Caenorhabditis elegans: one gene and its partners. The protein of the gene in region 1 purifies or fractionates together with the protein of each later gene. This does not show direct contact. Each region holds a gene or a part of one and is shown on either strand. Other genes may lie near its edges.

Evidence for each region.
Region 2: the proteins of npp-18 (region 1) and czw-1 fractionate together in Caenorhabditis elegans (co-fractionation; one large-scale study listed by BioGRID). This does not show direct contact.
Region 3: the proteins of npp-18 (region 1) and T24C12.3 fractionate together in Caenorhabditis elegans (co-fractionation; one large-scale study listed by BioGRID). This does not show direct contact.
Region 4: the proteins of npp-18 (region 1) and trxr-2 fractionate together in Caenorhabditis elegans (co-fractionation; one large-scale study listed by BioGRID). This does not show direct contact.

Annotation. Positions count from the first base shown.
Region 1 is NC_003281.10:13,294,245-13,300,758, reverse strand, and holds npp-18 (Nucleoporin SEH1), read right to left. Parts: upstream 3,907-6,514; 5' UTR 3,903-3,906; coding exon 3,837-3,902; intron 3,782-3,836; coding exon 3,671-3,781; intron 3,626-3,670; coding exon 3,564-3,625; intron 3,513-3,563; coding exon 3,445-3,512; intron 3,395-3,444; coding exon 3,007-3,394; intron 2,420-3,006; coding exon 2,163-2,419; intron 2,113-2,162; coding exon 1,973-2,112; 3' UTR 1,766-1,972; downstream 1-1,765. Other genes in the region: pgm-2 (Phosphoglucomutase-2), read right to left, coding at 1-129, 196-542, 1,221-1,380. UniProt on the Caenorhabditis elegans protein: Probable component of the nuclear pore complex (NPC) which is involved in the trafficking of macromolecules between the cytoplasm and nucleus. As a component of the GATOR complex may function in the amino acid-sensing branch of the TORC1 signaling pathway.
Region 2 is NC_003282.8:7,940,797-7,948,405, forward strand, and holds czw-1 (Centromere/kinetochore protein zw10 homolog), read right to left. Parts: upstream 5,797-7,609; 5' UTR 5,780-5,796; coding exon 5,486-5,779; intron 5,443-5,485; coding exon 4,886-5,442; intron 4,832-4,885; coding exon 4,289-4,831; intron 4,241-4,288; coding exon 3,430-4,240; intron 3,091-3,429; coding exon 2,959-3,090; 3' UTR 2,824-2,958; downstream 1-2,823. Other genes in the region: exc-9 (Cysteine-rich protein 1), read right to left, coding at 1-10; F20D12.12 (uncharacterized protein), read left to right, coding at 6,675-6,708, 7,115-7,158. UniProt on the Caenorhabditis elegans protein: Essential component of the mitotic checkpoint, which prevents cells from prematurely exiting mitosis. Required for the assembly of the dynein-dynactin and mdf-1-mdf-2 complexes onto kinetochores.
Region 3 is NC_003284.9:2,196,800-2,207,003, forward strand, and holds the start of T24C12.3 (Carbohydrate kinase PfkB domain-containing protein), read right to left. Parts: upstream 7,095-10,204; 5' UTR 7,041-7,094; coding exon 6,889-7,040; intron 6,842-6,888; coding exon 6,766-6,841; intron 6,492-6,765; coding exon 6,393-6,491; intron 6,349-6,392; coding exon 6,237-6,348; intron 6,107-6,236; coding exon 5,873-6,106; intron 5,821-5,872; coding exon 5,700-5,820; intron 5,617-5,699; coding exon 5,531-5,616; intron 5,485-5,530; coding exon 5,360-5,484; intron 5,194-5,359; coding exon 5,137-5,193; intron 4,355-5,136; coding exon of another isoform or gene 4,096-4,354; intron 4,047-4,095; coding exon of another isoform or gene 3,891-4,046; intron 3,838-3,890; coding exon of another isoform or gene 3,768-3,837; intron 3,721-3,767; coding exon of another isoform or gene 3,639-3,720; intron 3,087-3,638; coding exon of another isoform or gene 2,901-3,086; intron 2,836-2,900; coding exon of another isoform or gene 2,662-2,835; exon of another isoform or gene 2,641-2,661; intron 2,194-2,640; coding exon 2,114-2,193; intron 990-2,113; coding exon 908-989; intron 860-907; coding exon 731-859; intron 687-730; coding exon 572-686; and 4 more. Other genes in the region: T24C12.1 (Tetraspanin family protein), read left to right, coding at 2,662-2,835, 2,901-3,086, 3,639-3,720, 3,768-3,837, 3,891-4,046, 4,096-4,354; T24C12.4 (ShKT domain-containing protein), read right to left, coding at 7,442-7,594, 7,643-7,820, 7,886-8,066, 8,120-8,162.
Region 4 is NC_003281.10:8,912,233-8,919,282, reverse strand, and holds trxr-2 (putative glutathione reductase 2), read right to left. Parts: upstream 5,515-7,050; 5' UTR 5,503-5,514; coding exon 5,242-5,502; intron 5,194-5,241; coding exon 5,057-5,193; intron 5,011-5,056; coding exon 4,926-5,010; intron 4,577-4,925; coding exon 4,040-4,576; intron 3,990-4,039; coding exon 3,647-3,989; intron 3,079-3,646; coding exon 2,930-3,078; 3' UTR 2,824-2,929; downstream 1-2,823. Other genes in the region: M-phase inducer phosphatase cdc-25.3, read left to right, coding at 1,388-1,488, 1,536-1,905, 2,300-2,779; tpk-1 (thiamine pyrophosphokinase 1), read right to left, coding at 5,846-5,985, 6,035-6,146, 6,191-6,422, 6,832-6,912, 6,967-7,050.

The DNA of each region.
Region 1 (6,514 bases):
GTCAATTACAACATCAGCTGAATGGAAAAGTGGCGAAGATTTGAGTTCACTCAAGTCCCAGTACTCATCTCTCGGCTGTGGCTCGGCCTCTTTGATTCTAACAATTTCCGTGTCATGTGGTCCAATGATCTGCAAAAAAAACCTTTTCTTTTTTAATCTTAAAAAGAATTAAATCTTAAATATTGATCTATTTACCTGAGCTCCATTGCTCCAGTACGCCTTATATCCATTGTCTTCCTTTGGATTATGTGATGCAGTAATAATAAGTCCAGCATCACATCCCAGCTTAATCGTTGCCCACGAGACAACAGGAGTTGGAGAGACTTCAGAGAAAAGATAAACTGGAATATTGTTACGAACAAAGACGTTCGCCGAGAGCTCTGCGAAACGTCGACTGTTGTAACGTCCATCAAATCCGATGGCGACTCCGTTCTTCGGTTGTCCATAGACGTTCAGCATGTGTCGAGCGAATCCGTGCGTGATTTGGATGATTGTAAGATCGTTGAGGCGTCCAAATCCAGCTTGCATTGGAGAACGGACACCTGGAAAAAATACGTTTATATTTTGAGCTGTACTTTTGAATCTCTACTGTTCTCCTGTTAATATCACCCAGCTTCTTCAGAGTGTAGACAGTGGAGAGACGCAGAGATGTGGGGACCGTGTGATACGGGAACACAAATCTTTGAGAATGCGCATTGCGCAAAATATCTCGTAGCGAAAACTACAGTAATTCTTTAAACTAGTGTAGCGCTTGTGTAGATTTATGGGCTCACTTGGTGTCTGGCTGTCCCAATATAGCTTGATCTACAAAAAATGCGGGAATTTTTTACCAGAAAAATGTGGCGCCAGCACGCTCTTAACCATGCGAATTCGGCTAAGAACTCTGCGTCTCTTCTCCCGCATTTTTTGTAGATCAAAGCGAAATGGGACTTTCTGACTCCACGTGTGGGCTCGGTTTTCGAGAATAAATGTTTTTCGAATAGCGACAGATACAGATTGTTTCGAAAATTGACTACAGTAGCCATTAAAAGAATTATTGTAGCTTTCGCTATGAGATATTTTGCGCGTCAAATAAGTTGCGCAATATGCATTCCCGTAATAATGAAGATTCACACTCTGTAAATCTACACAATTTCGGGTCTTCCTCCCTTTGTCCCAATATAGCTGCGTTTCTTCCACCGTTTACACACTGCAGCTGTGTAATATTATTTTCTTCTCACCAGCAGTTCCAAAAACCAATCGAGTATCCATACGAGCTTTCAATGCATCAACGTTCTTCTCATCAACCAGCTTTTGAATTTCATTACGATTCTTATCATTCTTATCCCAAGCGAGCCAATCGGCAACTTGCTTGTCAAGCTTTGCACATCCAAGAGTCATTCTGAAAATTAGAAAGTGCTTAAATTTTGCAATAAAATTGTGGAAAAGACAACAAAAGTTTTAAAAAATCGAAATTTTGCAGATAAGGACACTAATACCACAATTATTCCGACATGTGTGGATGAGAAAAGGCCAGGTAAATGACCTTGCCGTTTCTCTATTTCTCTGCGAGTAACCCACTATCCCTAGATTTGGAAAAGAGATAAAATCAACAATAATTGATGGAGGTATTGTGGAAACTGTGAAAAAGACAGTATCGGGTTTCAGTAAATATTTAATTTTCGAATTTAGGTGAATGTTGAATGCAAAAAGAATTAACAAAAACGTCCAAAAAATATTTCTAGGCACAAAAACCGTTGAAAATTACATAAGTTAGATAAGTGGAATGTTTAATTCTTGCAGAAACCGATCAGCATGAAAAATCTGAAAATTAAACAGAAGATTGATAAAATACTTAAACATCAAAAAAAAATCGGTGATAATGTTCTCGGTTTTCAGTTTTCAGATGATGATAACAAATAATAATACACGCTTTGATAAGAAATCATTCGGAAAAAAAATGATCGGCGAGAAAAAATAGAGAAAAATATCGTTAGAAATAGGTTTTCTCGAGTTGTGATGGAAGACGTTCGGTAGTTTTCGATGAGATGAAGGCGCGAACTTCTTCAGGCGATGGAACGTAGTCGTCGACATTCATCTCACTCAGCTTTACCCATTGGTTCACGAAGAGTGCTGAAAATCAATTTTATTTCATTTTTGACTCTTTTTGATTTTTTCCCAACATTTCCAGGATCTCAGTGTTCCATCCAAGCTCGTCGACGAGATGACTGATCCCATGAGATTATATCGAAGCCTCCATGCTTTTCGATGATCCCCGAGCAGTGCCACCTTGATCAGATTGTAATCCGCCAGCTGAATCGGATTCTCGACACCGTCTTCTTCGAGAATCGCCGAACGAGCCACTTTGATGTTGTAGACGTGAACATCGCCTGATGCAACGGCTAATTGATGCGAATCCACCATCGATATCGGCGAGAATCTGAACATTTTAAATATTATAGTTAAAATAGCGGAAATTTTTTTTTGAAATTTTCAGACAAAAAATTGATAAAATAGCGGATTTTTCAAGAAAATTCGATTTTTTTTGAAATTTTTAGACAAAAATTATTAAAATAGCGAATTTTTCAAGAAAATTCCAATAATTTTTGGAATTTTCAGACAAAAAATTGATAAAACTGCGGACTTTTCCAGAAAATTCAATTTTTTTTGTTGGAATTTTTAGACAAAAAATTGTTAAAATAGCGGATTTTTCAAGAAAATTTTAAATATTTTTTGAATTTTGTTAAAATAGCGGAATTTTCAGAACATTTCAATTATTTTTAAAATTTTCAGGCAAAAAATTGATAAAATTGCGGATTTTTCAAGAAAATACGATTGTTTTTGAAATTTTTAGACACAAATCCGATAAATATCGGATTTTAGAAAATTCGATTATTTTTTGGAATTTCTAGACAAAAAATTATTCAAAGAGCGGATTTTTTAATACTGAAAAATCTGCTATTTTCAATGGAAAGGCAAGCGCGCTGTAATAATTATTCGGCTCCGAGGAGAGCGTGTTCTTCCTACTTCAAATCAGTAATCGGGCATGGTAGATCGAAGACTAATGAGTTGATTCGCTGCCATTTCCTCAATCCATCAATATTCTCATAGATCACAACTCGTTTCTTGTTCTCTGCCTTCTTCTCATCCGAACCAACAGCAATCAACGGGCGGTGCATACGAGAAAGTGACCATGTGACACATCCACATCGGGTATGAAACGCTTGAAGCTCGTGAATAAGATTCCATCGAGAAGCGTCCACAATATCCGGTGCTTCGTAGATTCTGACGGTTCCGAGAACGTTGCATGATGCCATCATGAGACCCAGATGGCGCGGGGAGAAGCAGATATCGGTGACGTCTGAACGATTATCGGAGATGATTGTTCTTCGGATCCATTGGGATTCTTTTTGCTCTGAGAGATACATAATGTTTTGGATTATATTTAGAGCGAATTATACTCACTCAGATCTTTCTCTGATCTCACAATTTGCTCCTCCCAAATTACAATCGTTCTGTCGTAGGAGCAGGTGCTGAAAATCAATCAATAAAGTATATTCGGGTGACAGTTTCTAGTTTCTTACGCAACAATCTGCCCAAATTCCGGATGAGCCCAAATAACGCGCCAAACTGCTCCACCATGACACTGAAATGAGGAAAATTATTTTATTTTCTGAAATTTCTTTTCTACCTTCCAGTGTGCAGATCTACGCCAATTTCCGTCTGGCTTTCGATCCCAAATCGCCATTGTCATATCGCTGGCACATGTTGCCATTCGTCGGCCATGAGGATCGAATGAAACCTGGAAATAAAAATCTTCAGTTTTTATCTAATTTTTCGAAATCAAGCCAACATACACAATGAATGAGATCTCTGTGAGCGCCGACGGTCTGAAAAGGTTTCACCGAGTCGTCTTCTTGCATTTTTCTGAAAATTAATAAATATTTATAGTGAATATTAGAGAAAAATAAGAGAAAAAGAAGAAAAATCGTTGCGTAGAAACAAAAAAATAGATTCAAAATTTAAAGGCGCAGGCACTTTCGCCGGTGGAAGGTCTCGCTAGGAGCGAGTGGTGTAGTCCTCTCGGACAAACGAGAAGATGCGGTAAATGTAAAATTTTTAAATTTAATGTTGGCCTAAATTAATTGCGGCACAATGAATTGATACATTTTAAAGACTTTTCATCCAAATTTTGTTTAATTAATTGTTAGAAATTGCTAAACTGTTCTATTCTAATCGAGGGGGTACGTTTTCGTAAGGGGATTTTTTCGTAAGGAACGCTTTCAGTAGGGCAATGTGCTGCGCGCCTTTTCGCAAGCCCGCCGCACAGTCCTTCGCAATGCGCCGCACGGCTTTTTGCAATGCGCCGCACGCTTCTTCGTATTTATTTATTTCTTTTTCCAACAGGAAATTTCGAACGGAATTCAATTAAAAACGGATTTTTAATGGAAATTAATTAGTTTTATTCGAGCTAAATACGGATATTTTCAGAATTTTCGATGACAAAAACGGGTTGCAATCGATTTCGAATCGATCAAAATTAATATTAATCGAAAATGAGCATTTCCTTCCCGGAAAAAGAAGAACTTGATGCTGAGAGTGATCCAAGCGGAGCCAAACGCTTTTTTAGAGGCAAGTATTGATGTCTAAAGATTAATTGAAGAGTGAAAAGTATTTTTCAGCGTTCGACAGGGATCTAAAGAAGAAAAGAAATCCGAAAGCGTCTACTACAAATGTATGTGAATCGACTCCTGCAACAATCGATCTGGTTACTCCACCTGCATCACCACGTCGGTCTGATTCGTATATGCAGTTTCCTTCAAATTCTCGAGAGCTCGATGAGCCGAGATCCACTGACGATATCCCGGAATGCGATTCAATAGCCAATTCTACTCAGGAAACAAGCTTGGATACAACAGATTCCATGGCAAATACTGAAAGATTTTTTGATTTTGATCCAGCTGTATTTCCCGAAGAAATGGATCACGATCTACAGGAAACCAGTGAATTCAATCTTCTGTGTAGGTCTTAACTAATAATTAAATAGAAATAACAGACGTTGTATTTTTAGGTCACAATTCATATCAATCTCCGTTTGAAGACGAAGAGACTCCATACCATCCGGATTGGTTTTTGACAAATAGGTTGTTATTAATCAATAACTCTATCAAAATATAAAATTCCAGCAAGTCACACGTGTTACGTTCTCTGATGCACTATAGACCGATTGCCAATAGCCCAAGAGGGTGCTTGAAATGGCACCGGAATATATCAGCGAGAATAGTTCAGATTTTTGGTATGCCTTCTAACTTCTAAAACAATTAAACATAGAAACTATGCAATTTCAGTATTTCGACGAAACGAGGAGCTCCATTGGTCATTTTCAACAATCAAAGCTATCGTCCGAGAGAAACACTGAAAAATGGGGACATTGTGGCTAGGTGAATTATCGCTAGGAAAAAATTTTATTTTTTGTCACACATTTCATTAATTTATTTCAGATGTAACGTTACACTGGAAAACTCGAGAAAGTGCCCCGGATCCGTGCGTATCAAGACTGAGACAGGCCATGTGAAAGTCAGTCGTGATTGTGATCACGAATCGAGGAGAAGCGAAATTGCAGTATACTGAAATTTACGTTTTTCAAAACTAAATTTATATTTTAGGTGCAATTAATTATGAGAAAAATCGCAGTTTCATCAATGTCTTCTTCACCATCAAAAGAACGCCTTTATGAGCTTGCTGTTACACTTTCAAAAAGATATGAAGTTGTTGAACTTCTCAAGAGCAACGTAAATAATAAATCGTGGAATCAATAAAACATATACTTTTTCCAGAAAGAAATCAGTCGCATACTGGACGGTATGCTGAGTAGGAAATCGACGAATAGTTTTCCACCAGCCCTCGATTCTGCCTATTTTAAAGGAGGAAAATGTTGTTTAGACAGTTCTGGAACGTTTGAGTCTAATAAGGATTTGCTAGTTGTGTGGCAAGCAGAGGAAGCTGAATCTTTGTATGGTGCACACAGCTTGCATTTGGATGGGAAATTCTCAGAAATTCCGAAAAATTATCGACAGCTTTACATCGCAACAGTCACGGTGCGTATTAATTGAAAGGTATTTTGATGTCAACCAATGACATTGCAGGATCTCGATACGAACGTGGCAGTTCCATTGGTTTTTGCTTTGTGTGGCTCTGCCAAAGAAGATTTGTACAGACGTTTGTTCCTATCTTTCCTACGTAGTGGAATCCAACCAAAATACGTATTTTCAGGTAAACGTTGGTTATATTTATTAAATTTATCAACCTATCCAGACTTTGAAGTGGCCAGTGTTAATGCGAGCAGAGCTGTGTGGCCGAATGCGGACATTTTTGGATGTTGGCGTCACTTCAAAGTGAATCTTTTTAAAAATCTGCGAAAAGGTAAACCTAAATATTTAATGCTGCTAACCTAATTCAAAATTTCAGCTGTTGGAGACGATATCAATAAGCCGGAATTCGTGAATCTTTTAAAATCGATTTATACTCTCAGTTT
Region 2 (7,609 bases), on another chromosome or scaffold:
AATTTGGCATTGTTGGCTCTCTGAAATGGAAATGGATAACGGGATATTCATTGAAGAAAAAGAAGAAACAGAAAGGATAAGAGAATTCTAAAATAGATGAGAGAAACAAAAAAGAAGGCAAAGAAGGAGAAGAAGATTTTGAGTAGCTTCTGCTGTTTCTGTCACGCGCGTCTTTTATAACCAATGTTTACCAAATTTTATGAGGAAAAGCTCGAAGACCAGATTACTGTGAGAAATAACAGATGAACTCAGAATTCCACGTAAAAAATGTTGAGCACAAAGGAGGAAAATACAGAGAACTGAACAAATTTAGAACAAAAGGCCACGTAAGTTAAAGATGGAGTTTATGATTTTTCGAACTATGAACAGAATGTATAACTGCAAAAAAAACATATTTCCTCTAAATACAGTTAGTTTTCCCATGCATGTAGTATTGGAACACCCTGAGCCCTAATTGAAAATCCATTGTCATAATAAAACTTCCGTAAAAAAAGATCAACGCCAGTGAGAATTATGTCAAAATAGTTTTGAAATGAACAAAAAAATAAATCGAAAATTCCAAAGTGTCTTTGGAGTTTTAAAATTTTCAGTTAGTTTTGGTAAATTGTCAAATTTTCTAAAATTGCAATTTTTTTGAAACATTCGGAGGATTATTGCACCTTCGAATTCCAAAACTACGATATATGAAAACTGAATGATTACCACTTTTCTGTAAATTACTGTAAATTAAAAATTCCAACATTTTTTTTGAATAGTTTACAATGATATTAGATAATGTTAGCAGTTAGAGCAATTTCTAAACTATCTCAAATCAACTTCTAAACACGTTGAAGCACTGACAAATTTCTGAAAAAAAAAAACGTTTTTTACGAGGTTTGCGAATATTAGCCGTACTACAGACAACTTGAAAAATTAGCCTTTCATACAAGTACATAATTACATGCAAGACGATAAATTGATTTTTGTCAATTAGTACTACCCACCACACGCAAATAAAGCGAATACCTAACATGGTGTGTAGGGTGTGTCATAGTATTGAGGAAAAAGGTATACCTAGACACCTGCCACCAGAAACAACACAATGTGACAGTTGGCACAAATACAATTCTACTGACTGACTGAAAGAGAGCAAGAGACGCAGAGAATTTTCCCAATTCCACACAAATTTCCCCACTATGAATAGGTCTGAAAGCCGAAATAAACCGAGTGAAAAAAGAGAGAAAAGGCAAGAGATTATTAGTTTCGCGGGACCGGAAAAATGGAAAAATATTTGCATTTTTTGAATGAATCAGCGGAAATATAACTGATATTTTGTGTAAACTATGTATGTAGTTAGTAAACAAAATTTGAATTTTTTTTTTGATATTTGAGTGAAAATAAAAAATAACTTTCAACAATTTTTACTATTTCCTATGCTACGGTAAGTTTAGACTACATCACTTCAATAATAATAAAATATAATTTTAATATTTTTGTTGCTGCATCACAGGGCAATTGAAGCAAAGAAAGGGGCACCACATCTGTTCTTTTACAACTTTTTACCACTGACCGCGTGCGCGGGATGGGAAAAGAACAGGCAATGAACAGGTGCAATTTACACTTCTATGTCTCTAAAAATACATGTTTCTTCTTCTTGTGATGGGGTGTCACAAAAGGACATATTTGGATTTAGAAAGGGAGAATAATATGAGAAGATGTACAAGGGTGACATGAAATTAGTATTAGGAATGGTTTTTTCTCAAGTGAAGTAAATTTGCCCATTAGACGATAACTATTTGATTAAAGATTAATGGGATGGTAAAATAGTTCGAAATAATAATATACATTTTTCATTGAAAAAACTGGAAATTAGAGAACGATTAATCTAGTAAACAGAAGAACTAGAAAACAACTTATTACTCATTCGTACGTCTGTGGAAGTTGAAAGTTGAGTTGAAAGTTAAGGATTACCAATACAAATTAATAATACACTGTTATAAATTAATATGCAATCCAAGAAATGTGATACGAAAACCCCTGGGTCCCGAAACGGTCAAAAATTCTCAGCAACCGTGTCTCTTTTTCCTTCACGTTCACCGACTTTTCAATTTTTTTTGTTAAAATCTTTAAACATATTTATTGAAAAATATAAACTCCAAATATCGACTTCATATATTTCGAACACCCTTGCGAACTCATGGATACGGTAGTATAAAAGTTTGGTTCGTGCCAGGACCCGAAGTTGTAGGGAGATTTTGAGATTATTATTCTTTGAGACAGGAATTTATATTTTCAAATAAAACCAATGAAATAAGATTCGAAATATCACCTAGGAATCAAGCGATGTATCAAATTTCATTTAAAAAATGAGTAAGTTAATATCCACCAAAAGCCAAACATATAAAAGACTACAGTAATCATGGCACTTCAAAAAACGCGAATTGTTTATTACCACTTTTCATTTTCTTCAGGAATATGAAGAAAACGGAAAAAAGGAAAGCTGTTGCGATGTGGTGGATAAATGCAGAAGCTGCAGAGAGAAATAGAATAGAATAAACAAATAAGTAGAGTAGAACGTATTGTCGCCCGCCCGGGAAAGGAAACGGGCGGCCCTTGCGGACGGGATTAAAAGTCACAACTGGTTCAATGTGATGAAGCTCGACTTTCGCCTTCATCTGTGCCACCATCATATGACATACGCCTTCTGGTGGGCGCCCCCGACCTTTCAAAGTGGCGTCTTGTTGTCTGCACTCTCCAGAGGGCGCCAACGGAATGCATTTGAAAAAAGTTGGCAACATTCCAAGGCTATTGTGTCGAGTGCGAACTGATCGGAAACCGTCACCGATGTTTAACTTTATTCAGAAAACATTGGGGGAAACATACTGGAAACCGGTAAAACAGTGAAACACAACGCCAGTTAAAAATTAAAAATGAATAATGTATTGGCGTGGAAGAGAATATGAATTAGTTTAATACACATTATAAACGAGCGATAAGATCAGAACGATGTTGCGAGTCGGCGAATAATGCTTTAATCAGTCCAACAACTTCGGATCGGCTCAAATGTTCTGCCATTGGACCCTTAGCGTTGAACCATCGATGCTCGATATCCTGAAAAATTAGCATAAAAATTATTTATAATTTCTAGACTTTCGGAACAAAACACATGTAAATTTCATATTTATGTTAAATCAAAACATCAAAAGTCGACGTCCGAAACAAGGGTGTTTTTTTGATTTTTCACTATTTCAAAAAGGGTAACTTTTAATATTTTCCTTTTTCCAATATTTGAAAAAATCCAATTTTTGAAAATAAATTGCTTTAAATATTCGCAATTTCACTTGTTTTAGAAGAACTTTTTTATTTTAAAAAAGTTTCTCTAAAGTTCCATGGTCAAAACTTCACTTTCATCAAAACAATACTTTACACGATATTTGAAAAAAAACCAACCTGCATTCTGTTTCCAAGAACGAACACAATTTCATTAAGACGGAAATACTCTCGAGCACAGAAATCGGTCACTTTTGTCTGCTCCTTATAGGCGACAATATTGGCAACAACTTCCAAAAGTCTTTTGAAAACGTCAGCCATCACGTTAGCATCATTTTCGCGGAAATCGGAAGTGGTGACAACGTGGCGCACAAGAGAATCCAACAGGAACGAGACGAGTGATCCAATCACCTTACAGTATACCACCTCAGTCAAAGGTTCACGAAGATTTTTTGCAATAAGGCGAATATGAAGAAGGCAGGCGGCAAGACATTTGATAATTTTTGGCTCTTCTCTCGGAACAAGAATATCAGCCGACTCGGACATCTCTTCAGCAGCAGCAAATGTATTCTTTGTAGTCTTATAACTTGCAGGCAAGTGTTCAAAGATGCTATGATCCTCCAAATAAGCAGTCATTTCGCGACGGCATCTTGTCAGTGTCTTTTCCATGCAATCAGCGGCAACAGTACGCAATCTGATAACAGAATCAAGGAGCAATGGTTCCAATAACGTCTTCTGATTGTCACCACTAGCCTCAAACGACATCGTCATAATGCAGTGTGATATATAATGACAGTTGTTGTAAAAAATGGCAGCCATGTTCGGGATCGAACTGAACAACTCAGCATGCTTCCTTGGTGTGAGAATCACGTAGAGACGAACAATATTCTCGGCGGTAAGAGCGAGTTTCGCACGAGCACCTTCATCTTCACAGGCAAACGCAGCCTTCACGTTATCACGGAGAAGATTGACAAAGTTGATAGTTGATTCACTGAAAATTATTTTTTAGAAAAAAATAATAAACACTTTAAAAAATTACCTGACTGTACATTTCTGGAAAGCGAAGAATGATGGAAACTGCGAATCTTCATTATGGCTCCAAAGACGTCCAAGATCTTTTCCATATTCTTTAGCAAAATGTTCGGCATGTGTATGAGCCTTTGCAAGCAAATCAATATCCTTGATGGCTGAATCATCAACTCCAACTGTAACCAGTTTGTCATACGTTTCATTTATCAATTTATTCGCTTTTGAAACGATCGCAAAGCAACGACGAGTCACAAAAATTGTGTCCGTGTCAAGAGTGAACAGCAACTTTGCTTTCTGAGAAAAGAATCCGAGCTCCTTCATTCTTTCGACAAAGACCTCTCCAATTTGCAACAAATTAATGAACATCTCCTGATCTTCGTCAGCAGTTTCAGTGACGGGTGCTGCAATCGCAATTACATCTTTCAGTATCATAGTTATCAGTTGTTCCTCAATAACGCTTCCGATCATCGACGTGAAAGTCTTTCCAGTCGCGTCCAGCAGTTCGTGAGAATGAAGAACGGAGTGCAACTTCGTAAAAAACACTTCCATTGACCTGAAACAACCATATTTAATTAAATTTCAGAATTTTAAAGTGGTTTTCGCTCACTCGAGAACTTTTGCGACATCAATAGTCTTGTCCTTCTTGCCACGTGGTTTTTGGTTTATCAAGAATCTTGTCTGATCAGGTGTTGGATTATCCACAATATATACGTCAACACCATCGCGGCTAGCAACAATCGCTTCACAGAACACGTTCAAGATAACGATTTTCCAAGCGTCCAGTCGTTCTGGTAATTGTCCAATCATATTCATAGCACTTAGAGTTTCGTTCAGCATTTTCTGATCTTCCACGCTTCCAACATTGAATACTGAGAAAGAAACATTTGTACGATCTCCACATTTCTGTTTTGACAGTTTTGGAACATTCATTGCTCTTTCGTAGTCAGCGGACAATTGGTAACGACAATTGTAGCTTAAAACCGAATATTCTGCGGCAAAATGCTTCAATGGAACACTCATGTCGAAACCGTCTCGTCCAATTCCTTCAAGCAGCATGTTTGTGTCATTGAGAAAATCTTTACAAGCAAGAATAGCAGTTCCCCATTCTACACGATTCGTTGTTTTACTCCGCATAATTATCAATTGTTCTTCGACATTTTTCATCTGAAAACTCAATTGTTTTATATGCTTATTTTCGAACCATTACCGATTGCAGGAATTCCACCAGATTTTCGCAGCTTTGAGCTTGGGATTTAATCTCTGCGAGCATTTCGGGGCTGTCCTTTGCTGTCTGATCAATTAAGTTAGACAGATTTCGAGTAGACATTTCAGCTATATCCTCGAGGTTCTCAAGTCGGTCGAAAATAAGCTTGGCTGTCGCGTTAACATTGAGTGACACTTTCAGGTTTCCATACTTGTCCACAATGTCCTGCGAGATTGAAGTAAGTCCATTTTTCAGTTTTTTCTCAAGATCTCTATAGGATCCCTCGGATGACGCCATTTTTTAAGTTTCACAGCCTGAAAAAGAAAATGTTCTACGGAATTATTAACTAACAAATACATGAAGACAAGAGCATTTAAATTTCCCGCAAATAGAAAACATAAAAACGACAACGAGACACCGGTGCGCTCACTTTAGCAGAAAAATGTTACTCACGCGTTCACAGAGATGAAAATTAATAACGGGAGATGAGTTGCAGGCAAGTGACTGGGGAAAGAGTCAATTTAAAAAATGTTTAATTGAGAATTCAGCATTCGTGATTGCTTACTTTTTGAAAAAAGAGCGCCGCGTGAATAAAAACAATAACGTTTCTATGAAGAATAAGATCTTATTACGTATAATTATTACGTTGCAACGCGTTGAAAATCGATTTTAAAATCCTTTGAACGATAAAAACAAAAGTTTGTAAAATGATTTGAAATCGAAATCAAACTTCGTTCCACGCGCGCATAATTATGATTATTGGCGCCAATGTACGGTGTACATCCGTGTTTGCGTACTTCGGACATGCAGACAACGAGAGACTGAACAAAACTGAGACCCGAAGAACTCGGGGGATGTCCAACTGGGGGGATTCCCAACTCGGGGGATTGGCCACGCCCACAGAACCGTGCCTTACAATACGCCCATTTCTGCAACCTCCGCACGGTTTTGAATGATGATTTTCTTCATTGTTTTTTGGGGGAGAAAAATCAATTTCGACTCTAAAAAGTTCAATTTGAATTGTTTTTCTTCGTTTTTTTCAGCCATTTTCGCAAAAAAAAGTATTTTTCAACCGTGACTTGTTAATTCGCCCTCCTTAATTCGTGTATTCCTTTTGTTAATCTCTTTCCCTCTCATATTTTATCAATTTTTTTAATTTCTAGACTTCGTCGAATCGAGGGAAATTGCACGGATGAAACAGGGATGTGCTTCTCCAGGCCACCCACGTGAGTATTATATTCTCAAATTGTAGAAAGTAGGAAAAAATTGATTTAAGAACAAAAATTGAAATAGTTTAACAAAAAATTAATGAAATATCTTCGGATCGAACATATATGGACTTATAGAGGCATTGAAATCGTTGAAACAGCTATAATTTGCTGTCACTGCTCTTTTGAAGTCGGAATTTCTGTATAGTGGCGGGCGATCAGTTCTTTTCGATTGTACGTCTCTGTGAACGTTAAGACTCCAAACCGTAGACTTCTCAATTGAATTGTGTAGAATTTTGTAATTGCATTCATTTAAGCCAAAAGCCTCTAAAAACTAAGCGAATCTGATAATAGACCAGATAAAATCTTTTTTCATTTATATATCAGCGATGTCATTATGAAAGTTCTAATTTAAATTTTTCAGATCCGCCCGAGCTGCTCATCCTCCAAATTCTTCCGTTTTCATGACAAATTATTGTTTTTTTGTTGAAATTATGTAATTCATTAAATGTAATATTATCCTTATCTGTAAATAATTATCATGATCAATAAAATATCGCTCTTAATGTTCAATGAATAGCTTGCAAACCAATTTGTACAATAATTTCATTGAACAATTTCCTTCGGCTCTGAAAAACATTTCATCACAATTTTTCAGGTTATCTTATTCGAATTTTTTAAATAGAACTCGTTCTACGTTCTTCACTTCGTCTCCTCACGTGTAAATTGTTCTTTCCTTGCAAATAATCGATTTTTACGCGTCGCCTTTCCGTGTGAATTGTTGTTTCACTGCGAAAAATCGATTTTTTTGAAATATTTTACTTTTATTCCGCGAAAACGACTCAAAAACCGAAAAAAACAATTCAAATTGAACTTTTTAGAGTTGAAATTGATTTTTCTCCCCCAAAAAACAATGAAG
Region 3 (10,204 bases), on another chromosome or scaffold:
AGCGATTGGAATTCAAGTTGGCCAAGTTTATTTCTGAAAATAAATTTTATACATATTAGTTTAGAACACTTAGAATGGAATGGTCAAATATCTTTTTTCAAAAAACCTTTTCAGGCAATTTTTGGAAAATTGTTCATTTAGCGAGGCGGGCACGGCAGGTGTTTCGCGTCTGCAAGGAAGCCCTATTCAGCACAACAGTAATAGTTGCGTTTTAAAATTCAAGCTTGGCAATTTGTAGAAAATGCAAAATACCCTACCTATATACCACTGCCGATCCCTTATTCGCCAATGTCACAATAAAAATGGAAGTATTGAGTAGCAGCTTAGTTTTCTCCTTTTCTATAAGTTCCAGCACACCATCGGCTGTATCAATGACCGACGGATCTACGGAGACGTGACAGAGTTTAGCCCATTTCAGAAACTCATTGGCATTTGGCGATGCGGCAGTTACAGCTCCAACCAAGCCTGTGTCGAACACCTTTTTCACTTTGTCAATGTCCGTGGGCTCGAGCCAAACTGAAGCCTTGTATATTTTTGTCTGTTTTTGTTAATTCTATGTAAGTCACCATACCTTGTTTATCATGTTTCTTTGCAATTTCTAAAACTCTGGCCATAACTGGAACTGATAGATTTGAATCAAGAAGAATGAAATCTGATGATTCCAATGCATCTTCATTGCTTTCAACCTGAAAAAACAACTATTTTTTGCCTCGTATCCTATTATACCCACCAATGACGGAGTAATGACACTCAGAAGTGGCTCACAAGTAACAATTCCATATTTCACGTTTCCTTTCACGTTGACTGCTAAATAAGTGCAAGTTGGTTTGTTGCTTATAATCTTTACTCGATTAATATCCTAAACGACACGAAAATTTCCATGAGAAACAACAAAAAAATTTCCTACAATTTTATGACTGTTCTGTCTGAAGAAATGTCCGTTGTTGTCATCGCCAATAGCAGAAATGAAAACTGAATCACATCCAAGCCTGAAATAAAAAATATATTTTAAGATAAAGCTATTTTCAAATCAAGCACTTTGCGCGCCGTGGCTCAAGCCTGCAATACAGTTAAAGTTCAATTGAAGTGCAAAACTATCAGACAAAAGTCAATCAAACAATTGATCGTACACAAAACAATTACAAAACTGAACAACGATCTTGGGATGTTTGTCAAAATAAGAGCAGAAAAAAATCGAATTCCAAAGAGACCGAGTTCAAATTACTTTTTCGCTCTTTTGCGATCCACACAAATACCTCGGCAACATTTACTTTCGTTTGAGCATCAGGTTTGGTGGTATTGTGTTGTCGGTCATCTTTGAAGTTTACAGTGACATTGTACTATCTTGATGTGATGAGAAGTTAAAAGGTCTCGCTTGTGCTTTTGGTTTGAACAAAAAATGAAAGCCACAAGTCCATAAATGCAAATGGACTTGATTAGTTTTATGACATTTTGTATTTCTGTATTTGGTTTAGTATACCGGGGGTGGATTGCTGTTTTTCAAATTTTTGCCAAATTCGGCAAATCGGCGAATTTGCCAGAAAACGGCAATGGCCAAAAATTATCGGCAAATTAAGGTTTTACACATTTTTTCTTTAACTCTATACACATTTAAATTTTGAACCGCAAAATTGTACGCATCCTACGGATCACCCTACATCTATTTTGAAAGTAAGCAATTTATATGTGAATATAATTCAAAAACAGGAAAACATTTCATAATGGCACGGTTCAGTGTTTTCGCCTTATCGAAAATCCTTTTAGAAATTTCCGGCAAACTGATACCGGCAAACGGCAAATTAGCAAATTGCCGGAGTTGAGCAATTCCGGCAAGTTTGCCGATTTGCCGAACGGCAATTACCCACCCCTCATTTGAACACTACATTTTCACATCATTCCAATTATTTATCCCAATATGCACTGTACTTTGACCACGCTACAAATTCTTAGCAATTTTTTTTCTTCAATTCAAAACAAAAATGGTCAGGAAGAAAAACATATCATTTCGATTTCTTGTGAATGTATGAAAACTGTGTGCCAAAAGTGAAAGTGGTGGTGCGTCTTTTAGCGCGACGCACAAGCGATGACATTCTAATTTACGAGTATTTCTGACCTTGCTAATGCATCCGCGTGATTCCTTGCTACTCCTCCCATTCGCTGTACCACTTGTCCGTTGTATGAGCCGCCATCATCCTGAAATCATTTAAGTGTTACCGGATATTATATATATTGGAGTTCAATATCAAATTCTCAATCTCAATTCTTTAGAAAAAAAAACATTATGTGCTTTGAAGCGATCACTTAAATGTGTGACAGTAGCGCATTGATACTTTGTTCAAATAGCAATGAATCAGAAAGCTTGCTCTCCGATTGGCAGTGTGCCGGAAGCTTCTGCCACACAGTTTTCATTTATTTTATTTTGTTCTTTCTCTTTTTTTGTCTTGGCCTCCCACTTTTCATCAATCATACAGACGAGCCATCAGCACTGTTTCTCTCACAATCAATCCTCGTAGAGAGAGAGAGAAAGAAGAAACAAACATGTGCGAGGTGTGTGTTTTCCTGTTCGTCTTTCTTTTCAAAAATCTTTCCCCGTTCCTGTTTTTTGTACCTTCATCATTGATTTTCAGAATCACTTTGCCATAATTATAACAAGTTTTCAGCATGCGGTTTGGTAAAGCGGCATGGCTTTATGGGAGCAATATGATACTCCTGCTTGCCGTTTTTCTCTTTCTTGGCGCCACGATTGTCATGCTCACAAGCCCATTATTCGTGCTGATTCCTATCAAAAAGAATGATCCATATGTTCTTGGATACTGCTTCATCAATATTTGTTTGGTGAGTAGTGCAAAGCTCCGAACTTAATAGTTTCACTATGTATCATCAAAAACCATTGTTTTCAGGCACTTTTGTGTATCGCATCAATTGTTGCAATTCGGAAAAGACAAATTGGCGTTGTCGTTTTTTGTCATTGGATAAAGTGCTGTACACTTATTGTGGATGCTGTCATGGTTTTCGTTTTTGCAAGCATCATGTCCACAGCTCACACCTCGCTATATTCCCACATTCAAGTACTTCACAATAGCAGTGTAAGTATTCAAGATTTTGAAATCCGGGAGAAAAACCAAGTATACAGTTAGGTTGATTTTTTAAAGTTAAACCAGTACAGTTTGTGCAGAACAAAACGTGGAAAAATAGGAGTTATTAAACTCATTGAGGAATACTAATTATTGATACAGTGTGTCCAATTTCTACAAGACCTCCTTTTTAATGATTTGAAAACTCGCACTGACAAAAAACCTATGCAGCATTGTTTTCAGCCTAGTTCAGCCTACCAAATTATTAGTCTATCACTCTGACCAAAAAAAATCAGATGGTCTTGATTACACATTTTAGCACATATACGTGGAATTTGGGATCTCATGACTTTTCCGCTCCCGGCGCAGTTCTTATTGCTAAATTGTTTCAAAAAGTTTGAATACATTCGGTTGCAATTATGATCAACTTTAATTACATTTATTATAGTCCAAAAATGCTGAAAATTATACTAGAACACTGAAAACATTTTCAGATTTTTCAATATCACCATGCAAAATTTTGATAAATTGTGTAATTTTTTAACACGTGTTATTAATTTTCAGAAAGAACTATGCTCTGTCTGGGATAACGTCTATCAGACTTTGATTTGCTGCCCACCCGAAGAAGTGTTACAAACATGTGCAGGTATCTAGTTTCTACAGTTGTTCCCCTCATAAAATTCTGTATTTCAGATTTTCTAAACGTTACAAAATCGTTTTGCCCAACTGGACATTCCAATGACTGCTATATTCATCTCAAGAGGTAACATATCTTTCAGGAAAAACTGAAATTATATGAACAAAAAAATCTTGCAGATGGCTCCATTCCAATACAGAAATAGTCGGATGTCTTGCTTTTTGTGTGATCACGCCGCTGAAGTTGTTCATGATCGCAGCTCTTCGAAAAGATATCGAGAAAGTTGAAACAGAAATGGCGGAACTTGAATACTACTCTCAGATGATTAATGAATAGTAATAACTATGACTTGAGGAGCATTAATAATCAACAATTATATTTCAGTGACCGCCATGGAGATGGTTACATCGAGAGCTTCAAGAGCAATATCAACTTGGCTGACAGCACGTCAACCCAAACATCAGGAATCAGCCGCGTTAAAAGTTTCCCAGGATATTCACCTTTCTTGAAGCACTCTGTAATCGAGGAGGTGGAGAACGAATTTACGGTCCGTGGGGATGAAATTCGGGAAGAGCTACAACAAGCGATTGCTGCTCATAATGCACGACAACTTGAGGCGGCTGCTGTTACTGAACAGTTTTAATTTTTGGGGGTTCAGTTCAGTTTCTCCTTTTTTCATTCCGACAGTTCAGGGGTTTTTGTGAAAGTGTTTGCAAGGGTGTGATGTTGGTATAAGAGATGTTGTTGGTAAAATAATATTTTGATGAATCTTACTAGTTCGGCAATTTGTCACAACTTATACACCAACTTTTGCAACGTTTCTACGAACTATAGAAACATATCTACAACTTTGGCCAAGCACTTTCTACTAAGTTTACCTACTTTGATCAATTTTATCCAACCTTTTTCCCAAATTTAGCAACTTCTTCGCTTGGCATTGCTAAAGTTGCAGCAGTTGGTGGATGAGTTGCAGCAAATTGTCGAGAGTGTTTCACCTAGTGTATATTATTTTTCTCTAACTTTGTTTTTAAATGAGTTTAAACGGTTTGGGCAATTTTGATCTAATAATGCAAATTTCGAATAAAATGAACTCAAATAAACGAATTTCGTAATGAAACTTTTCAAAATTTTTTCAATAATTTTTTATGGCGGTTTCACTTGTGTCTACTTTTCTGTGCCATGTCTGAACCGTTAGGTCCCCTTCAGACAACTTTCCACGGCTCAATCACTTTAAAATCCGCAAACCACTCAAATCTCTAAGTTTCTTTCATCATAATTTTTTACGTGTTTTTCAAAAGTTTTTCTTTTCTAAATTGTCATGTTTTTTTTGGTTTTTTTTTTTTTGGTATACTCCATTCCCCAAATGTTTTTTTCTGATTTTTTTTGTTGTTGCTCATTTTCAATTGTTCTTTGTTTCATTCTCACCTTTACATCTTCACTCGTGATGGCTTCAAAGTCAACGATAGTTGCTCCGATAGAAACCTGAAAAACAGTCGTGATCTGTTTGATACGTTTGACAAATAAATGTCATTGAAACTAGTAGGCGTTGGTTGTTTGCTAAGACAGCTTGTGTTGTTTCAAACTTTTATGAGAACAATACCACATTTCGCAAGTGAATAAAAAAAACTTTATTGTAGGTTTGACTCACCACTTTTGGTTTTCGAGTCGTTGATGCAGTTGGTTGGCTCTGTGAAATTGTAAGTGGACGTCTATCGCAGAGCTTTGCGGCTAGTCTTCCAGCAATTGACGCATTATTCTCGAGAAGTGCAATGTCTGTAAAATGACAATTAACAGCGGAAAAATTGTTCAAAACGCATACTTGTAGCCATTGAAGCTCCTTGTGTGAGCTCGTTCACTCTTGCAAGAATGAATGGGGTGACACTTTGTGAAGCGATGTTTTGTTCACTGAAAGTAAAGTTTTGAAGCAAAACAGGGAACTTTTCAAAAAATATTTTTAAAAAGTGCAACATATTTAAATTTTAACTTACATGGCTTCTTGAACAGCTTGGTCAATTGCTTTCTGGATCGCATCTCCATCAGCTGCATATTTTTCAGGAATAGGACAAGCCAGAATAGTTCCATAAGGTAATCCGAGAGATTTCGAGGTTTCTGAAACACTTCATGACTTTACTTCATGAACCAATATTTTTCATCAACTCACTTAACAGGTGAACAACTTCTTCCAATGATTCAGTGCAGAATTGAGCTTTTCTATCTGATGTTCTAGTGAAAAAGCTTGGAAACACATTTTCTTGCCCATAAACTATGCAGTTCACGGAATGAGTTTCAAGATATTCGACAGTTTTGGGTATGTCTAAAATGCTTTTGACTCCAGAGCACACCACACACACGGGAGTTTGCGAAAGTTCTTGAAGATCAGCCGAAACATCGAATGCTGGAAAATTTTTTTGCTGTTCGGAAAAAAAAGAACTTGAATAAATGGTAAAAAAAATTGTCCAAATTCAACAATTTTCCTAAAACTTCACGGGTCAAAAAAAAAACACCAAACACATGAAACAACTCACTCTGATCTGCACCACGATGTACTCCACCAATGCCACCTGTTGCAAATACACTGATCCCAGCTGCGTGTGCTATCTTCATAGTTGAAGCTACTGTAGTTCCTCCAACTTCTTTCTGAAATCAACATTGAAAAATTTATCATAGTAGATCAAACTTACTTTAATCAGTGTCTTTGCGATATCCCTGGAGGAAACTTTGACTGCATTCTGACTTGAAGCAAGAAGTTCCAGTTTTTCATCATCCAATCCAACATGAATCTGAATAAAATGAAAATGTTTAGGTATACACTATTTAAAATTTTCAAAAAATGATTTTTAATTTTATAGCGTTTAAGTTTTCACAAAAATTCCTAAGAATTTTTAGTTGATGAAACACTAATTTTGGCAGTTTTTGAATAAAAAAATATTATTGTTTTATATGAAAATATTGGTATAAAATGTCGCAGTCTGCTAGAAAAACGAACGTGGCAGCAATAAAAGTATCATTTAATAATTTAAATTTTCAGAAACAAGTTCTAGCGAAAAAACCTACTTTTCCATCAAATAACGCAATCGTAGCTGGATGACTTCCTGATGATCGAACTTTTTGCTCCAAACTTCTTGCAGTACTGCAAATAATTTTTTAATAGTTTCAAATGCATTTGCAATTCACTACCTTAAATTATGAGGGTAAGGAAGTCCATGTGTGATCACTGTACTCTCCAGCGCGACAACTCCTTCTCCGCTAGCTAGAGCCTCCTTAACTTGTGGAGAAATTTGAAGAAATTTGGAAAACGAACGTTTTTGGCCAAAAAATCGAGAACACATAGTGAGAAATAGAGAGTAATAGACCTAGAATGGGGCTCGCACTATCTACAACACTACTTTTTCTGGTTATCGAACAAGATCGATATGGAAAAAGATGGAGAGAAGAGATAAGATTGCCCTCTACACTCTGTTTTTTACTATCTCAAAAGTGTCCATCATTTGATAAGATTGTCATTTTTACGAATTTCAAAGTCCAAGCTTTTTTTTTGTGAAGATTTTATTAATCATTAAAATAAATAAATTGGAATTTTAAAAAGGTTCGATCGAGATCTCGTTAATTTTCGTCATGAAATTAGGAAAATATATTACAACAGATTAGTAAGTATTGAATAGATAAATAAATAAATGAGTAAGAAATATTAAAAAATAAGAATGAATAAATTACGTTTCCAGTGTGACATTTAGTTCGGAATGAGAACTGGTGGTTTTCCACAAGACACTGGCTCAAATCGACCGAGCGGTGTGCGATAAATATCTCTGCGGCAAAAGTTGCAAGTTTTTCTGCAAATGCGGAACGCCAAATGTGCAGTCGATCCGTCGCAAGACCATTGAGACTGCAAAAAAAAAGTGGTCTAGAAAACATTTAGAAAAGCGTCACCTACCTTTCCCCAAACATCCTCCTTCTTCAAAAATCGCTTGCAGAACTCTGATCCATGGCGGTCGAAACATTGGTTGGATTTGTGGCCGGCTTGGAAAATGAGCTCGTATCTATCGGCAGCGCTTTCCATTCCACAAGTGTTACAACATTGGATCAAAGAGAAATCAGCGTCAGTAGCGCATCTGAACTTCATATTTAATTTCAGAGAGCATTTGAAACAATTAATGAAGTTTAAAAAAAAACCAACCTGTCTAGGAACTTCGAAGGATTGTGCTGTTGAAGTCTTCTACAGGCAATGCTCGAAATGATATCGGAGCAACATGGTGGAAAGGCTGCTCCAAGTGCTGTGGAAAGCTCACTGATAGTAATATTATCCTCTTTGTACAATGGTTTGAGCTGTGAAATTTGGAAGCCAGCATCCACAATATCTAAAATTAAAAAAAAACAATAAAATGAATTAGAAATGAAAAAGCCTACTCACGGATGAGAAAAATAGCAGAAAAGACAACCGCGTACTTCCACATGACGCTCAATTGTGGTGTAATTGAGAATGTCCCAAGTCGACGGAACATTGCTCGTACTTTTATAATACAGTGCCAATCATTCCGGTTCTGCACCTCCCGCATTTTCGCGCCGCCCCAAGGCGTTGAGCAGTGTGCAGCAACAACACAATGTAAACGATGACCGGAAGGCACGGAAAAATGAATCGAGCTAAGCATTATGGGAGCATGAGAGACCGTCAACTCTGACGTGATTGGCATATGCACTACTGGATGATCATCGGTGATTACACGTAGGTGACACGTGTCTGTGATTAATATCGCGGAAAGAAGTGTGGGGTATATTGAAGTTGGCATACTATCATAGTAAATCTTTCCAAAAAAATTTTTGGAAATTTTATTCACTCTCAAAAAGTTGCAATTACTGAGTTTTTGCCTCTCATAATTTTGGAAGCAGGTCAAAAAAAATTTATTTTTTCGACGACTTTTATACTTTAATTGTATTCTATTTAGTTGATTTAAAACATTATAAGGGTAGACTCTTGCGACATTGCTCTGGATTTTCTTAAAAGGTTTTCCAAAATTTGGCAACTAGCCAAAACTTCTTTGACTGACTGGAAGTTTTTTTTTAATCTAAAAACTTTTGGAGTGTTTTAATATGGTTATTTTATATCATTATTGGTGCATTTGGAAAAGATCCCCACTGACGCTAATTATCAGAAACTCATGCTTCCAACAATGAAATAACTTCATTCATTAAACAAATTGTTTCTCCTAAAAATTTGAAATTTCTGTTTTACACATAGTTTTCACCATTTGCCTCTTTGAAGAGCCTAAACCATTCAAAAAAGTGGAATGGTTTTTGTCAATTTCGTCAATTGAACTGAAGCGTTTTTTGATCCCATTTTCCTTCGACCTTATTTTTTTGGTTTTTAACAAAGAATTTTTGAAAAATCAAATTTTAAAGTGCAAAATTGCATGGTTTTTCGATTTTAAGTAGTTCCTTTGAATGTGACTGTTTTTAAGTTATTTATATTTTTGTGGTTTGTTTTTCTTAAAGAAAAAGAGCCAATCGGGTAAATCGTAGGTTAGGTGCTCAAAAATTGACACTGAAAAATTTGCCACCAAAAAGGTAAACTTGATTTGTACCCTAAAATTATTTTACGCGGGTATTCGAATATTTTGCTTTTTTATTTTAACTTTATATATATTTCTACGCTTATCGAAAGTATATATGTATAAGAAAAAATTTTTGAAAAAAAGGAACTTCAACAATTTTTTTACTTGAAAATCACGTTAAAAAAAAGAAAAGCTAATTTTTTCCAATGTTTCTTTTCATGTTTCAGCAACCATTTGACTATAAATTGATGATATGTATTCTTTAAATGCCAAGCTTAGATTTTACTTTGTCATTCCTGAAGATCACTGAGCAACATGCTCATTCACATTTGCTACCGCATTTTCCCGTCTTTTATCTCTAAAATCAAATGGTCAGCATACTCAAACATTCCGTTAAGCAACGCTTATTCCTCATTCTTCATCTTTTTTCGTTTTCATCATCACTCTACAACACAACAAAAAAGAATGCACAAACATAATTTGGCGTGTGCTCTTACACTCTCGCCACTTTTACACTCATATCGTCTTCAGAGGTTGTTTGACGTTGCCGGTGGCCACACAGCTTGCCGCGCGGCAAAAGCATATCATTGACTCATAGAGGAAGGCTTTACCGCCGTTGTTAGACACGGGGAAGCATGTGCAGCGTGTTGTGCAACAACTTTTTGTGTTGTGCATTAAGAGAGAGTTGCTCTCTTCCGGCGAATCAAAGATTTTGGAAACCATGTTTGTGATAGGGGGGAGTTCAAAGAACATTTCGATTTAGGACAACTTTTATATATTCAGAAATCAGACTAGTTATTCGAACTGTACAATAATAATAGAAAATAGAGGAATTTTTGGAAAACTGCACAGCAGCTACTGGAAAGGTTGCACACCAGTATATTAAAATTTCTTCCACAACTTTCCATGTTTCTCAAATTTTATTTGGTCTGCTATATTTTCTCTCT
Region 4 (7,050 bases), 4.4 Mb from region 1:
TGTAAAAGTGTTCTCTAATCTTCAAAATCATTGTTGCTCTATTGATTTTTTTGTTCTGTAGGTAGTTTGAATAAATCTTATTTTCAATTGTATTAAACAGTGATTCGAAATTCAAATGACTCGAAGAATAATATAAAAACTGTTTTAGAAGTAGAGTAGCGACAGTTGGAAAATAGTTTTCAAAAAAGAAGCACCCCTTTACATGGGCCAAATGGTGCCTGAACCATCCAAATAAAACTTTACAAAATATTAATGAGACAGTGAAAAATGGAAATTTTGCTGGATTACCCGCATATTTGACATTAATTTCTAAGAACCTTAGGTTCCGTTATCCCAGTAGGAACACTGTAGAATACTGTAGCCAAATATGAAATACCCTAAACTAGTATCACTACTGTTATTTTAATAGTTTGTCGCGTATAATTTGACAACAGAAGATTTAAGTTTCTCAAAAAATAACTCGGCATTTTGATTTTTGTCAATTTATCAAGTCGACATTGATTGAAAAATACTAATTGAAAGTTTGACTATTCGTTTTTATGAAAGTGTATTTTGTACAATAAACGTAGAAAGCTGTTGGAAGAACGAACACCTTGTTGAAGTGATTTTGATTTTAAAAGTTTATCAAAAATTTAGGAGCTTTCAATAGTTTCATAGAATGTATTTTTCACCAAAGGAATGGTTATAAAAAATTTCACTCTTGAAATACCAATGGTTCTTTCTGATCTAGATATGTTAAGAGTCAGTCAAGAACCTGGAAGCCGGTTTCGTTTCCTTTTATAGGTGGAAATTTTCTTTTTCCAATTTTTTCTTTTCCAATTTTTTAAAAATTATTATGGTATCCATCAAATTAATGATTTTCAATTGTTTTGCCCACAAGCCATATTCTACACCTTATACCAAAAATTTTATTTAAAATTGTTCAAAGTTAAATACAATTAGAGACAATTCTCACCGTTTCTTCCCAGAATCAAAACTTCCCAGTCGAATCTACTCATATTCTCTTTGTCTAATTCCCGCTCTAAAGGTGAAAACAATCGTAGGTCAAATTCTCACTCCCGGAAATAGGTGCACATCGCCACACTAACACGACACCTTGGCACACAATTGCGAGATCAATTGTCTTCCCAGGAGAACGGCCCGCCCCATTTTATATAGGTTATATCGATCTCGAGGGGGACCATATAAAAGGGGAGGGTCCATGATCATTGCGCGCTAAAATAATGTTTTATTTTATTGAGTGTTCATTAGGGTTTTCTACTGATCCCATTCCAATTCATATTAAACTAGACTAGTCAGTCTCTCTTTTTTCATTTAGTCTTCAAATCCATTCTATTGCATTCTTTCATTCAGGTATACCTAGTTCAGTCTAGCTCCAAGTCTCCTGATGTGCGTTGACGTTCCATGTGAAAACTGCATTGTTCGCAATGACGGGCTCCGGCTGAAATGTTCTGAATGTGCTGAAGGATCCTCGAAGCTATTCCCAAGGTTAGTTGATTATTTGTGTTCGATATCAATAAATCCATAATTTACAGACAAAACCGTCAACACTCTTCTGCGATCAGCCACATCTCCAACTCATCGCCACCCACTCGGAAACGAAGCATTGATGGAGGATATACATCTGGAACGGATTCTGCGAATACTTCTGAAATTGTGATAAAGAAAAGACTAACTTTCTCAAAAAAGAGCCATTCAACTTCGGAAATTGAGACATGGAATGCCCATCTTCAAGTGGATTATCATTTGGAAACCGTGACGCCTAGCTGTTCTACCGTATACCAAAAAATCACTTCTGAAACGTTAATTGAAATCATGCAGAAGCTATCGCAAATTGAGTTTATGCAGAAATATATTCTAATTGATTGCCGATATGATTATGAATATAATGGAGGGCATATTAAGGTTAGTTTTTGCCGTTTGTACTACGTTTCCAGACTCCAAAGTCTTAGTGTGTACCTTTAAGTTTACAGTAACCCTCGTAATTTATATTCTCTCTTCGTGTCCGTGTATCATTTTAGTTTTTCAATAAATAGACTCTTTCGAGAGAAAATGCCATATGAGAATGGGATACTGTACTTCTTAAAACTCGTACTTAAAGAATCATGAGTCCGTTCTAATGGGTTCTGTCAAAAACAGAAAACACATTTAATTTTAGAATTAATAAAAAATCTACTTTCCTTCGTGGCAAGACCCTTCCAAACCAAATCATGCGCCTTTAAGTGTGCGTTTCAGAAAAAAGAATTATAATAACTGTTTTGAAAAAATACCAGAAAGTTAAAACTGCAAATCTTTTCAGGGAGCTCAAAGCCTGTTCAATCCAGAAACTGCTGCAGACTTCTTCTTCAACAAAGATGGTTCCAAGAAAATCAACCGGATACCCATTTTCTACTGTGAATACAGTCAAAAACGTGGACCAACCATGGCGAACAACCTTCGGGAAGTGGACAGAAAACTGAATTCAAATATCTATCCGAGATGTGATTATGAGGAGATTTATTTGTTGGAAGGAGGTTATAAAAACTTTTACGCTTTCACGCGGGGATTAGAGAAGGAACAAAGAGTACAACTCTGTGAGCCAGATAATTATGTAATCATGTTTGATGATCGTTATAAGGCTGAGCTTCGGAAGCACCAGTTCCATAAGAAGAATGTTTCGAAGCCAATGAAGAAATGGAGTTCAACAACATCTGTGATATCTATTCTAACAACTTCTGGAACTCGTATTTCGACACTTCGTCAGACATGTGATCCCATCCATGAGCACGATGCGCATTAAGAATATGTAGTTCCCGGTATCTTTTAAAAAGGATAATCAAATATTTTGTACTATTTATTATGTTTAATTATAATTACTAGTATCCAGGATAATAGGATGTAAATTAACTTTGATAAATAAACTGAATGATTTGTCAATAAACTTTTTGAATTATCCACAGCATCCCTGAGTTCTTGGGTCTTGTCCAGATCGTTTTGTAATGTGAAGCTTCACGAACTCTTCAGAAGAACATGGATGAATGGCAATTGTGTTTTGAAGATCAGACATTGAAATTCCAACACGGAATGCTACTGCGTAGCCTGAAATAATTTAGTGCAATCGGTTAGCTTTTAAAGTTTTCGTATCTTGATCGATTATCGAGGTTGTTAGTATTACCTACCCGCAGAATATTGTGAGTTGATTGCCAAAAGTACGGTACCTGAACTTGACACGATAAAATTTTTTCGCGCCTGTAAAGAATACTGTAGTTTCAGACTCTCGATTCTGCAGAAATTTTGTAGATTTTTAAAGCTTTTTGATAAAAATTTATTAATTGTCTCAAGTTGTGATTAAATCTTTAAAAAATCGATAAAAATTCTACAGCAGCGAAAGTTTAAATTTTCAGTATTATTTAAAGGTGCACACTTTCTTTGCATTAAAAATTGTCGTATCAAGCCGTATTTTTGGCGCAAAAATAGCAGAATTTTGCGTATGTGTAATATTATTCATTCAATAAAGAAAAAGATAAAAAATTCAAAATAACAGATTTAGCACGTAAGTTTTTGCGAACAGATTATGGTTTTTCGAACATTGTTCCAAAATTGAAGGTGTTCAGAAAACATTTTCGTGACGGGCGGGGCGGACTATTTCTCTTTTTGAATCAATTACCTTGAATTACTTCTGCGGCATTTGGTCCAACAAAATGAAGACCAAGAATTTTCTGCGATTCATCTCTTGTACACACGGCTTTCACATAACAAAAACCGCTATCCTTATTCTGTGGCACAACATACTCAAACGGAGTAAAATGAGAATGAAACACTTCGATCGAATCTTCTCCATGTTTCTGAATGGCTTCTTCCTCAGTTAACCCGACGGTTGAGAGTTCAAGAGGCGTGAATACTGTAGTGGCAACTCCATCGAATCGAACTATTTGTTTGGAATTTGAAAAAAGACGATCAGCTAGAAGTTTTCCGGATTGAATAGCAAGTGGCGTGAGCTCTTGGCGATCCTGAATACTATCATTTTTATTTTAAAAAAATGTTACTTTTTTTATCGTACCTGAACAATATCTCCAACGGCATATACACCATTACAGGAAGCTCTATCAAATTCATCTGCTAGAATCTTCCCAGATCTCTTATCAGTCCTCACTCCAGCATTATCCAAATTCAAACTTTTCAAATTTGGAACTCTACCAGCCGCCCAAATAACTGTATCATATTCTTCAACACCACCATTTCCAGTGAATGTAACCTTCTTCTTACTGCCAACTGCTTCTACACGTTCTACTTCCACGTGTTCCTTAACTTTCACTCCAGTTGTTTTCAGATGCTCCATGACAAAATGCACACAATCTCTATCAAAACCCTTCAAAGGAATTGATCTCACAAGAACTTCAACATTTTGATTGAATGCAGAAAGAAATCCAGCACATTCCAATGCAACATATCCTCCACCAACAATCAAAGTTTTTCCGGGAACTGATGCCAGTGTAAAAAGATCGTCTGAAGTGATTCCAAGTTCAGCACCAGGAATATTTGGATATTTGGGACGGAGTCCTGTTGAGATGACTACATTCGGTGCGGAAAGAAAATTCTGAAAATCTAGGATGAAATTTTTTAATTTTCCGTTTCCTAGCAATATTATTATTACCTAAAGTTTGCGCCAAAAATGCGGTACCAGGTCTCGACGCGACAAATTTTTGTCAAATGCGAAAAGTTGTGCCTTTAACGAGTACTGTCATCTCAAACATTTGTTGCTACGGAATTTTTATAGATTATTTTTATAGATTTTATCACAACTTGTTAGAATAAATTATGTTTTTTCGGAAAACTATATTGTCGTGTCGAGACCTGATACCGTATTCTCCTCCGAAAAGCCGCAAAACTTTTGGGTATACGGAACAAATTTTTTAAAACTTCTTTTTTCATTTTTCCAAACGTACCTTGGTTTTATTTTTGTCTGTACCAGTTATCACAATCTTGTCTTTATCCACAAACTCGGCATAGGCATTGAAGTAATTGATTTTTCTAAATTTCATAAAAATAAAAATTTCCACAAAATTAAAAAAAATACTTCTGATTTAATTGAACTCTATAAATCCAATTGTTTGCTTTTACTCGATCATTCACATTCTTTGACAACACATTCCAATCATGTTTGATTTTCTCTTGATCTATGCCATTCCAGCCATATTTGTCTGCGTGTTTTAGCTGGAATTTTGAATTTAGTGCTCTAAATATTTATAATATTATTCCTGCCTCTTTCCCGACGATTGCTGCTTGGTGCATTAACTTTTTAGGAATGCATCCGACATTTGCACAAGTTCCTCCGATTCCCCATGAATGTCCATGTGGAGTTGGCTCAACTGCATCAATTAATGCCACGTTTGCTCCAAGATCAGCTGCTCTTTTAGAACAAGAAAGTCCTCCAGATCCTGCTCCAATTACAATCAGATCAAATTTATTTGATGAGAAGAGACGCCTGATTGGTAGATGTCGTTTGAAAGTGGATAGAAGCATCAGAAAATTGATCTACAAATGATTTAAAGTTGAATTTCAATTTTCATTAGATTTTTGAAATCGCTATCGGATATTCGCAGATAATTCATTAGAATTGGATATTTTTTAAACAAATAACATTGCTTTTAAAATGAAAATTTTAATCTCATACTATTAATTCGTTTTTATTTTTATTAATTCGTTTTCAACACAAAATGGTACAGGGAATAAAGTGTATTATAATATTGTAGATAATTATATAGTACCGGTGAAAACTAGGAAAAATGGAATAAAAAGAAAATAGAACAGTTGAATAGCAAAGGAATGAAAAGTTGTGAATTAAGAGGGACCATAAAATGTGATACTATAGAGAATCAAGTTTGTAGACCCAATTTTCAAGTTCAATTGAAAAAATCAGAGACGACGAAGATTTCAAAAATACTTGGCTCGTGGTAACTTCATTCGACGTGCTGATAAGTTTTCCAAATTCAAGAGCAAGGTTTTCTGAAATGGAAACGTTTAATAGAAATGATGTTGAAACATTGGATTATACCCATTTCATATTTTAGTCCAATTGAACTGACGATTGTCTCCTTTTGAACAATTGGAATGATTCCACACATTTTTGTTGTCATTTCAAGATTGACATCAAGATTTGAATCCCCCTGAATTTAACTCTTAATGTTCACATAGGCCTGCCAAGGATTACTGTAGGAACAGCGAGAACCAAATTTCTAGAATCCAAAACGATCACAGGAGTTTGAGAATCAACGAATCTTATTAAAGATGATAACGTTGACATGGTGTGATCAAATCGTCCATTGAGACCTCCTAGAACAACGATATTCTCGAATTCCCAGCTTGTTAGTGTTTTCTGCTCTAAGCACCACTGAACGCTCTTCGAGAGATCTGTGTAGTCTTGATCAGGCAGATGGACGACTCTAAAACAACATTAAGAACAATTTTCGACAAAATATTTTTATTTTTTTAGTCCTGAACACAGAATGAATAACATTTAGTTGGCAAGCCAGAAATACCAAAAAAAGTGCAAAATCATTATTATGACCTGGTCAATACACTCTTCTCAACGAATTGTAGCTTTCAGTCTTCCAGTATTAAAAACACAACTCAATAATATTTTAATTTTATTTTCAACGTTCACGCCTATATATTCTTTTAGCTAATATTCAACAGCCGCTACAGTAATAATTCTTTGTGATCACTACAGTAACCCTACAGTAATTCTATCATTGCTCATTAATAGAAGATGTTATCAAACATGAAACACGATTACAATGAAGTTGAGTAATGCCTATATTAATTTTTAATTTCAGTAGAATTTAAACTAACTTTGCATTTTTTGTATCAATCTGTTTATTTATTGAATCGAAATCTCCGCAGATAATATGAGGCCATTCGACGAAACTCTTTCTGAAATCCAAAACTCGGTTTACGATAATTTTCAATTTCTGGATCCTAGATCACCTTTTAAGAATCTCATTAACAGCTCCATCAGTTGCAACTCGATATTTGGCCTTATTCCATAAATTTTCAGCGCGATTGCTGATT